Linked DNA regions of Arabidopsis thaliana. Changing the gene in region 1 together with any one later gene gives a genetic interaction. Each region holds a gene or a part of one and is shown on either strand. Other genes may lie near its edges. The genes, in order: MYB23 and GL2.

Region 1 (4,688 bases):
AATGCATTTAAGAAAGGAAATTATATTTTAGTAAATAACAAAATAAAGATTATAAAAGGGTATAGTTGTTCTTGGATATATACTTTAAGATTATGCCTATTTTGGAGAAATTTCTCTCATGAAATATTTTAGGAAGATCCTTTATGATTATATAATATCATATTTATGATACCATTTCTTAATATAGTAATTTATGTTTATTGAAAATTTTATCCCATGCAATGTCAAAACCTAGTAGAGAATTAAGATTGCTTAGCTTATTTTTTAGTCTATAGGACTTTACGAATACAATGTATGAAATACGAATGTTAGTGTAGTTAATTAATAGATTAGATGATCAACATCAACTAGTTGGGTTGATCTGAAAGTAAGTTTTGGAATTAAAAGGATCTATAGGTCCTATATCATTAATTATCCATAAAACTAATAAAAGTAGGCTAAATCAAGTGGAAGCTATAATCTATAGACGTACATAATTCATATGCCCGACATAATATATTTAGTGTAGTGATTATCATATTACATTACTGTCTAGAGTTTGGTATCACGGATACTTATGTTTTTGTATCAAAGATGTTTAATTCTATAGTTTAGTTATAACTTATAACTGATAACATTGTTTGGAGAATAGTAACTATTCTTAAAGCAAATTTTACATGTTAAACTCTTTTGTTTTTGTTTTTTTTTGTCAAAGTTGTGTATTCCTATTTCCTGAACAAAACTATTATATACAGACTATATTCGTATATTATATTTTTTGTTGTCAAAGTTGTATTTTCCTGTTTCATACTATATATATCGACTTCAACTCCCTCCATTGGGATCCGATCCAAAAAATAATACTCATATGAACATATACACACATGACATATTGACATATCTTAGCTGGATGAGCCAGAGGATCTTCTATGTTTGGTATTAATATAAAAAGTAAAAACTGCCTACTGTCTATCCCAAGGGAATATTATTGTGTCCAATAGTAATTACCTTCCTTTTTTTCAATTTTCACTTCTACTTAACTTGTTAGTTGGGATACACATGTCTACCTAGACATATCTTGTTACAGTTTTTACATACTTTATTAGATATGGATAAATTTGGTTATAAATAAATCCCAGATTTTTCTTTCAAAACATATTTACTATCAATACATTTTTAAAATGAAAAACAAAATGTGAGGCTTGAGTATAACATATGTAAAACAGGTGTAAAAAAGTAAGGAAACAGATATAGATATATAGTGTTACAAAAAAATATAATACAAATTTAATTTAATTTATAACTTTTGGTAAATTATAACGAGCAAGAAATTTGAAACTCGGAATATGAAGTAAATTATTTCGTTAGATCAATAAAATATTTTTCTAACGGGTGTTAACACACACCACAATTTTACGTGGACGTTTTTGCTCTTAAATCTCAACTAAATTTTAGATTTTTAATTTTTAGGCAAAGCGTTTCCAAATCTTTCTTATAAGAAAATATACAATAGAAGAAACATAGTACACCGTTTTCAACTAATAGTTGAGGAATATTGAGTTTATTCGGATCACATATTTTTAGTATTGTTCAACCAAAACCAACAAGATAGAGAGTCAACAAGCCCTTCCAGTTCTTTATATAGTTTCCCTACTAAATCCATCTATTAATCAATTTGAGAACAAACTCTTCAAATCCTCTATCTCCTTTTTTGATAAAAACATATTTTTACTTTGCCACAACTAACTAATACTATACTTTATTTTATTTGATGAATTCTCTCATATATTAGTAAGAAGAACATGTTGTCTATATCTACACCCGTTTAAATGGTTAAATCAATTTCGTTAGGTTGACTTATTGGTAAAAGAATGTAGGGATTGACTTTACCATATACGGACTTTTTGGAGAGACAACAGCAAACAAAACAAACATGTCCTTACGTATATATATATACGCACATATACATGTAAACAAAACAATATATACGTCACACGAATCATATATATATATAGAGTCAGGCTCGACTAATCATCACCGACTCAGCCACTTTCTCTCTCTCTCTCTCTCTCTCTCTCTCTCTCTCTCTCTCTCTCTCTCTCTCTCTCTCTCTCTCTCTCTCTCTCTCTCTCTCCTCGGGATCAAGAAAAGTGAAGAAGAATGAGAATGACAAGAGATGGAAAAGAACATGAATACAAGAAAGGTTTATGGACAGTGGAAGAAGACAAGATCCTCATGGATTATGTCCGAACTCATGGCCAGGGCCACTGGAACCGCATCGCCAAGAAAACTGGTATTTATACTCTCTCTTTCTATTATAGTACTCTCTTATTTCTTCTGGTATACTTGCTCTTACTTCTCTCTTTCTTGTCCTAAGAAATAAAAATTAGTACTAAAGATTGAAACTTTTGATGATAATTAGGGCTCAAGAGATGTGGGAAAAGCTGTAGGTTGAGATGGATGAACTACTTAAGCCCTAATGTTAACAGAGGCAATTTTACTGACCAAGAAGAAGATCTCATCATCAGACTCCACAAGCTCCTCGGCAACAGGTTCTTTTTTTTCTCCATATATTCAAAGATATATATTTGCTTAATTTTCTTTTATACAATTCTAATAGTATTATATATGTTAGATCATGTGTTTTGTTGTTCGGTGCTGCATTCACGTGAATCTTTAAATTGTTTATATGTGTACAGCTTGCTAGCTATATATCACATATATCTAATCCATAATTTATATATTTATAATATATGTTTTGTTGTTCGATCCTTAGTTCACGGTAATCTCTAAATTGTTTATTATTATTTATTTATTTTTGGTTGAAACATCTCTAAATTGTTTAGTTGTGATATAGATTACTTATATTTAACTGATATATTATATTCATTTATTCATAAAATAAGTGTATTTTATTAAGCTACTATTTACAAACGTCCACAAAGCAAATAATGGTTATTCAAAAATAGTAGTAAGAAACGGATCGTAAATTTGAATCAAAAATCTTAGATCTGTCCTTTGTTTTTTCGGCCATTAATTTGTATAGCTAGGTTTCTATTCAAAAAATATGCTTTCTCGAACCTAACAATGATTCATAATTGTACTCATTTATGGATCATCTGTATATATATACACATGTCTCATATAAACATCTACAACATACATAATCTGGCTACATGTATTACGCACATGCTCTATATAGGTCCATGCATAAGCATTAACTCCGTTTTACAAGATTTCTTGTTTCAAAAGTTTGCCACATATTTATAGCACATTCGAAAATCCATATAGTGTATAATACAATATTTATTTATTATAATTGAAGATTAAGAGACCACAAATAAAAATATTAATCTAACATCGTAAATTCTTTTAATATTTAGATGGTCGTTGATAGCGAAAAGAGTTCCGGGAAGAACAGACAACCAAGTAAAGAATTACTGGAACACACATCTCAGCAAGAAACTTGGTCTCGGAGATCATTCAACTGCCGTCAAAGCCGCATGCGGTGTAGAGTCTCCACCGTCTATGGCCCTTATAACCACAACGTCCTCCTCTCATCAAGAGATCTCCGGTGGAAAAAATTCAACTCTAAGGTTCGACACTTTAGTTGACGAATCCAAACTCAAACCAAAATCCAAACTAGTCCACGCAACACCAACTGACGTAGAAGTTGCAGCTACGGTTCCAAATCTGTTCGATACCTTTTGGGTTCTTGAAGACGACTTCGAGCTTAGTTCACTCACTATGATGGATTTTACTAATGGGTATTGCCTTTGAATATCTTTGATGATTAGCTTCTAAAAAGTAATTAATTATCGAATAATAGATTATAATGAACAATAATAATAATATGAATACAATTAAATTTTTTTCCGAATATTTGCTTGTAGCTTTTGTACTTTCTTTTGTAAAAGTAAGGATGATCAGTTGATAAAAAAATCTTATACTAGAAAGTTATTTGGTTATGTCCCTAATGTAACCAACTTAAATATCCTATTAGTTTACAAGTTAAGTGTTTATACTTCTACTTCATTCGTACATTGGCGTTCACATAAGATTTTCCGTATTTTGTACAGAAAAGAACAACTTAATCAAATTAAAGTGATAACTAGTGCATTTTCAGCTGTGAAAACTAACTCTTGGTTTCTATATCTAATTCTGGATTCTCCAAAAAAAAGGTCAATCCTAACTTTTAGTGTAGTGGAAAATACAGACTACCAATATCTAATTTATACTGTATCATTTAGTTTGGCATCTTTCTAATAATGATTTATACTCGAACATTTATAAATAAATGGTATAGTTTTAATATGTGAGAAAATCTAAAATGATAAAAGGAGAGTAAAATATAATCTTCGCTTGCATAAGGTCGGAAATTTTTTCATTTTAAGTCAACAAATATGGTCAACCGAGATAATCCAGCTGTTACAAGCCTTGATTCTACGTATCACCCGCTTGTAAGATTTTTATAAAATGAATGAGGTCTTGTCAGGTTAGGCTCTTTGTGTCTCTTAATTATACATTAATTACATTGACTAATGTTAGAGTTCTGAAATCAATGACGATTAATCTATCATACATATTCATACTTTAGATAAGACCAGACCTCGTACGTTGGAATTTGAAAGTTAGTTGAAGAAGCCAAGACTGTTAGAGATTATTTTTTCTGGTTGACTTAAATAAATTGTTCCAACAAAAAAGTAAAC
Region 2 (6,949 bases), on another chromosome or scaffold:
GCTTTTAAGATTAGGCCCAGTTTATTGTAAAACCCATTTACCATCTGTATACTGTATACATCCCTTCTAAATAGTAGTAGTACTCACCTTATCTTCATTTTCATCGATTCGATTCCAAATCGGAAGGATGATAACGTCGTCCCTAACCTCATCTCTGCAAGCTCTCAAGCTTTCGTCTCCGTTCGCCCATGGCTCCACTCCTCTCTCATCTCTCTCTAAGCCCAATTCCTTCCCGAACCACAGAATGCCCGCTTTAGTTCCGGTCATCAGAGCCATGAAAACGATGCAGGGGCGCGTGGTGTGCGCAACCAGTGACAAGACTGTGGCGGTGGAGGTGGTGAGGCTGGCTCCCCACCCCAAGTACAAGAGGCGCGTGAGGATGAAGAAGAAGTACCAAGCTCACGACCCCGATAATCAGTTCAAGGTTGGCGACGTGGTCAGACTGGAAAAGAGCAGACCCATCAGTAAGACTAAATCATTTGTGGCGCTTCCTGTCATCGCAAGGGCCGCCAGGAAAGCCGAAGCCGGAGGAGATGAACTCCTTGGCCTTCCCTTGGAGTCTCAGCAGCCGGCGTAGAGAATGATTGCTCTTTGTTTCTTTTGGTAAAGCCGTCTTTTTTTTGCTCTGCTTCTGTTTGTTTGTTGTGTATCCCGGAACCAGTGTAATTTATGGAATGCTTTTGTGATTTCATTGCTTATGCCATGAGTGTGTTTTCAATCTGATTGTTTCCGACTACCAATTGTTTGCTCTTACTTCATCTTCACCTCCAGTTACATTTAGAATGTGAATTAATATGTTTCTGTTGCTACTGTGTGCTTGTGGTCTCAGTGATCCGACTTTTGTTTCTGCTAATTCTACGGTTCTTGCTCCTCTTGTTATGGTTCATTTGCCAATGGAATGGACCAAAAAGGTGTTGGATAATAATAGGATTGGAGAAGAGAGAGCTGGTCGTTTTTGTACAAAACTTTAATGCACTGCTGCTATACATTATCATATAATTATATATAGGTAAATAATATCTGCTGTGACTTGTCATCAGCAATCTTCGATTTGTAGACTTCTCTTAATGTTGTGTAGTGTGACTGAGACGAGGTTTGTCACGGATTCCACAGACTCCATATTCAGCTTTGCTGCAGGAGAAGGGTTGATGAGGGTTTGGAGGGCGAGTGTCAGGAGCGACCCTCCTTGGCTGTTTCTGTCGTCTTGTGTAGACGTTATTACCAGTGGCCGTGACTCTACTCCATCAGGTATGATTGAGAATCCAGAGGGGAGGATTTGGATGTTGCTTGGATCATGTCCCGCGAGCACCAGCTGTGTCGTGTTTATATCTACGGGAGCGTATACCACCACCGACTCATACGAGTTAGTGCTGCTGTCTTGCAGCACCCATATGCTCTTTTCTCTCGATTTCACTGTCTGGAAATGTATAGAAATTCAGATTATCAAGGCCTAGACAGATTTAGAGGAGGAGAAGACAAAATAAACGCACCTGGATTGCCACTGAGTTGCCTCTGTCTTGTCCCTTGGATAAGTTTGCAATAGACTGAACATGAGCTCCGTTTGACAAAGCATCCCACTGATGATATGTATCGTTAGATAAATATATGAGTGGAAACCGCTTTTCTTGTTTGCTTAAATGTGTGTGAATTTGACAAGGTACCTCATGCCGACGAGCTTCATCTCTAAAGAAATCGAAGAGAAGAGCTGGAGAAACAGGTAACCACAGCGAAGAAGAAGCGCAGACAATGACTCCCGTGGGCTCGCCAGGATCATGAAGGTTCTTCCTGGAAGAAACCCGCATGTCTTGTCCAGTTTTGGTGGTGATTTTGGTCCATTGATGGTAGCTTGATGCAGCAATGGCGCGGTAGAAGCTTTGTGTCATTCTCTGAGCCATCTTCAGCACACTCTTTCTCCCGGCAAGAGTTGTAACTCCTGATTATCAACAGAGGAGTGAAAAGGTTATATATAAAGAAAGATAGAGAGTGTAAATGGAGGATCCGGATATATAGACGGACCGAGAGAGTCTTTGGTGGGGACGTTGGTAGCCATGAAGAAGACAAGGCGTTCGCAATGGAGCTGAAGGGTGGCGACCCAGTGTCGAGCCCCAAAGGCCAAACCGGTGTTGACTAAGGAGCGGAAGAGAGGCTGAACTGTGGATGCAGACACGTCGAGGTGCTCCACCCAGGTGACCTTGGAGTGACCGTTGGAGGTGTCCTCGATGATGCAACCGGAGGGGAGTTTTCGACATTTCAGAAGAGAAGCCTCCTTCTCCGTGTTGCTGTCCTCCACGGAGACCGAGACGTCCACTATTGCCCATTTCTCAGGGCTCAGCTGCCGGCAGCTTCTCACGAAGTACACTTCTCTTGTGGGGACGACCGGAGTGAGCAGCTGCATCTCTCCGAACATCTGCCACAATAGTTATAAACCATATCCATCCCATGTATCAGCTGAGTCGTCATTCATCAATTATCACTATATGTATATATTGATGAGTACTCACCAGCTGAATAGCCCCGTCGATCCGTGAAGGCCCTTCGCCTTGCCGGATAACATCGACCGTTGCAGCCTTTGAGATCAAGCATGCAAATGTCTCTTTCCATTGTCCCTGCGCGTTACACGTACACATCAATTCCTTTTTATACACATAGAATAAGTTATAGTAGCTGGTAACAGTAATAAATAATGGAAAAGTACCACGTCCATGAAACTCTGGGCAAGTTTATGTGCGTCCATAAACACAATCCCCGCATCTCTAGATGCTTCGATGGTTTTCCTTCCAGGAAACGAAGAGGCTTGCGCTTGGGGAAACTCCTTGAGGTACTCATCGTAGTTGAGAATCTCACGGCCAGTCTCAACGCTGCGGAGCCACATAGGTTCGCCTGAGGTGGCCATCTTCTGGAGTTCAAGGGTGGCTCGGTTAGAAATCTCGGCAATACGGGACTTCTCGAGGGCAAAGACGCCCGTGTAGAAATCGAGAGAGCCGAGACGGTGTTCTTGATCGTCGGAGCATGAAGCCTGCAGGGGATAGGGAGTGCGTCCAAGAGCTGCACGAAGCTTATCGAGCTCGGCTTTCAGTTTGGAGTTTTCGAGGTGGAGATCATCGGGGCCTCCTCCGCAGTTGGGGCAGGAGGAATTAGCCTTGGAAAAAGACTCCCTCATGGCTTTGTTTTCCTCTCGCAGCTTCTCTAGTTCCGCCTTGAGCAGGGAGTTCTCGTGCCGTTCTTGAATAGCCTGTCCATGCATGATTGATTCATAAACTATATATATACTACTATAGTCAGACAAAAATCCATATCACGTAAGATATACATTACCTTGATCTGTGTGCGGCGGTTTTGGAACCAGAACTTGACCTGGCGAGGGGCCAGCCCTAGTTGCTTGCTCAGCTGCTGTCTTTGCTTCTCGTCCGGATGTGGTGTCTCTTTGAATAGCCTGCAACGTCCTCAAATTCAGACATTTCTAAAAGATGAAAATCTTTACATGCAACTGAACCCTAACTAGGCATATGTATACTATTACTGATCAGCTTTAATTGTGATGAAACAAATTAACACTTTATTGTTTAAGCCTTTATATACGTTATAACGCGCATGTACCTACAGTCATGTCAGGAGAAGACGGGGAATAATAACGAGTAAGCGTCCGAAACCATATAAGCGCATTGAAACTAATGCTGGATCATATATCATCGATCGGCAATATATTTGTATGAATACATCATCTAAGTATATATATGTATGTGAAATTAATGGAGAATTGAAGGTGCGTAATTGAGAATTGCTCTTCAACGCAAGACACCTTCTCCTTCTTCCACTAATTAAGTACTACAGTATATACCGAAGAAAGGGATTAAAATCATAATTACTTATAAAACATCAAGAAATATGAGCACCGGAAAAAACAACTAATGAATGTTTCTTGATAGAAGCTAGCCCTAATGAATCGGAATCCCCTAATTAAGTGTTTTAATTTGTGAAGCATAATTATTAAGTTTATACTTATTAAAAAGTGGGGTGGGGGGTTTAATTAGTTAGCTAGGTAAGGATGGAATAATTATATCGAACGTACGCTTCCATGTGTCTGATCTGATCGGTGGTGTGACGATGATACTTCTTCCTCTTTCTCTTATTAGTGCCCTTGTTTCCAGCTGCGCCGTCCTCCTCTTCCTCCTCCTCATCGTCGTGATCCTCACCCTCCAAATCCTCCTCTGATCTGGATCTCGTGGGTCCTGAGTTCTCGCTGCTCATCTCCACAGTGCGATCCTCATCGTCAACTACTCTTCTGCCCAGGAAATCCTCCTCAGGGTTGGTGCTGCCGGAGGATGCATTCCGGAATATCCCAGCCTGTATATATTCCTATCTCCATTAAAATCAAGACATATATATAATATATGTTTATGTGAGAGCTAGCAAGTACATGTATGTAGAAAAGAGAGAGTAGTATACGAGAGATAGAGAGAGGGCTGGAGAGGAGAAAAAGTCTTTGGTGGGTTGTTTGGAAGACATGTCGACGGCCATTGACATACAAATCCTGTCCCTAGCTAGCTTCTTTGCTTAATTATGATCTCTTCCCTCTTCTCCTCGCACTCCTTCTTCCTTATATATTATCTCTCTTTTTTTCTTTCTTCTTTAATTACTTATACACCAAAATGTACTTTCAATTAATATATAAGCTAAGATCGATATATATATATATATATATATATATAGCCTCTTCAATTCCAATGATACATATATATATAAGCGGTCGTTTTTCAGATATTTCTTCCATTTCTCTACTGCTCTTGACTTTTAGGTGCTTCTTTTATAATTAATTAGTTTTAATTAATTAATACCTATTATATTATTATATTTAGTCCTTTTACGGTTTTATATATTTTGGCTATACTTCAATCCGACAATTGAGTAGTTTAAAACATGGCCAGCTACAGCATTGGCAGCCATCGATCGACTTCATTTTTCTTCTTAATATTCGATTTTTAATATATACATATATATATGATGAGCAAAATTCAAATTTGAATTATGGAAAATATATCAGCCTTCCAATTTCAGCTACTAACTTTAATATGAATTATGTTGGAATGATATAAAGGATTGAGAAGAACTTGAACATATATACAATGAAGCCATATTGAAACATGAGCAAATTATCCGTTAAAAGTAGTACATAATGGCGTTGCTATAGATTACTGTAGACAGGGGGGGAAGGAATGAGAATAAGAAGGAAGGGTTACAATTGCATGATTGATTTAAGGGTATAAAAACAAAAAAGACGAACTTCTCTGTCTCTTCTTTAATTGAATTGTGTGTATAGACTAGAGAGAGAGAGAGAGAGAGACATATGTGTATGTCAGATTTCTTAATTGTTTTCTCTAGAGAGAGAGAGAGTTGACCGTTAGATACTGAGATGGACTCAACTAACTTTTAGCACCTAATTCTCCAACCGCATTTTCTGCTTTCTTCTTCCCTCCTTAATTATCCTCTCATTACTCTTATTATGACTTGTGTATTTATTTATTACTATATACTACTACTTATGATTTATTATTGTGATGATCTCTTCTTTCAAACAATTGGTAACTTATACAAAACGCTATCATCACATCTTAATTTAAGATATGGCTTAATAAGAAACCCTATCTATTAATCATATATACTTTATTATGTAAACTTGGCTCTATTAGTATAATTGCGTCAGGATTATAGGAAACTGGGACTCTGGGAGAAGCATATATATATATTTGATAAGAATTAGCATATACAATATATGGGTAAGAGAGAGTTACTAACAGTATATTGCAGCGCTACATGGAACCCTAAATTGCTTGAGACTTGTCCTCTTCCAATATTTTTATAAAAACTAATGGGATATCTATATTCCTGGATTAATCCCAATCGAATCTAATACACTGACTAGTATAGTAGGGGTATGTACGTAGCAGTATTAGGAAAACAATTAGACTAACGGTAAAGGCAGGAAAGAAGAGTTGTTGAATATAAGTTAGAAAGTTAAAAAAGAATTCGGATAGAGAAAGTTTAGAAGACGTACGTAAGCAGAGAAAATTAATTCAACAAATGTAATTCAGCAGCGGAAAGAGACGTCGAAATTTATTTTATTTTTATTTGTTGTTGTAAAAAAAGAAAAAGGTCAGCGAGAGGCATTGACCGATCGTTACTCATTAATTTCAGCGACCTTAAAAGGAAATGAATGCTCTTTATGGGTTTGCCTCCAACCCCTTTCCAATTCCTCCACCCTCTCTTTATTACTTACTTTCCTATTCACTATACGCATCTCCCTCTCTCTCTATATCCACCATATATACATTTTATAATGCCACCTGGACACATGTGTATGTGTATGTTGTTTTAATATTTGACAAAATTTGAAATTTTGATCATCTTATTGTATCACGGGCACGTCAAGATTTCAAACATTGATTCATATTATCGTATGCATACACCATGACATATTATTGCAAGATATATCTCAACAGTTACATTGTTAACAATATAGATATAGTAGCTTAAACCGTCCGTATAATACGTACGTAAATGGACGAAGACGTATAGTGAAGGAAACTTAGGTCTTTAATAAGATATATAATGGTATAACTGTAGCAGATGATTTATCTACAATTCAAAAGCTTTATCAGTTTCTTTTGTTTTTTTCTTTGTTAGTCGTCGTACGGCCTAGGGAATTGTTAGTTAGGAAAGGTAGATACATAATGTATAGAGAGGGAAGCAACCATAAACATTTACATTCACCACATGCTCTTAAATAATTAATTAATGCCTCCTAACCTCTCCTTTTGCTCTATCTATCTACTTTAATTAATTACTTGAATATATGCTGCCTATAGAGATTCCTTTTTCTTTCTTCCATTCATTCCTTTTGGCTACTGACTCTCTCTCTCTTTTTTGCTCTCGATTAATACTTCTACTTAAT

What was found.
Region 2: of MYB23 (region 1) and GL2, changing one enhances a phenotype caused by changing the other (phenotypic enhancement), as found in Arabidopsis thaliana (one study listed by BioGRID).

What each region holds. Positions count from the first base shown.
Region 1 is NC_003076.8:16,125,710-16,130,397, forward strand, and holds MYB23 (myb domain protein 23), read left to right. Parts: upstream 1-2,015; 5' UTR 2,016-2,139; coding exon 2,140-2,272; intron 2,273-2,401; coding exon 2,402-2,531; intron 2,532-3,362; coding exon 3,363-3,759; 3' UTR 3,760-3,952; downstream 3,953-4,688. UniProt on the Arabidopsis thaliana protein: Transcription activator, when associated with BHLH2/EGL3/MYC146 or BHLH12/MYC1. Regulates the epidermal cell fate specification. Mediates the formation of columellae and accumulation of mucilages on seed coats.
Region 2 is NC_003070.9:30,035,101-30,042,049, reverse strand, and holds GL2 (HD-ZIP IV family of homeobox-leucine zipper protein with lipid-binding START domain-containing protein), read right to left. Parts: upstream 5,095-6,949; 5' UTR 4,958-5,094; coding exon 4,900-4,957; intron 4,675-4,899; exon of another isoform or gene 4,554-4,674; coding exon 4,447-4,553; exon of another isoform or gene 4,345-4,446; coding exon 4,070-4,344; intron 3,434-4,069; coding exon 3,316-3,433; intron 3,233-3,315; coding exon 2,696-3,232; intron 2,607-2,695; coding exon 2,502-2,606; intron 2,408-2,501; coding exon 2,017-2,407; coding exon of another isoform or gene 1,961-2,016; intron 1,934-1,960; coding exon 1,662-1,933; intron 1,578-1,661; coding exon 1,491-1,577; coding exon of another isoform or gene 1,461-1,490; intron 1,418-1,460; coding exon 1,037-1,417; 3' UTR 610-1,036; downstream 1-609. Other genes in the region: RPS17 (ribosomal protein S17), read left to right, coding at 128-577. UniProt on the Arabidopsis thaliana protein: Transcription factor involved in the determination of epidermal cell identity. Required for correct morphological development and maturation of trichomes. Regulates the frequency of trichome initiation and determines trichome spacing.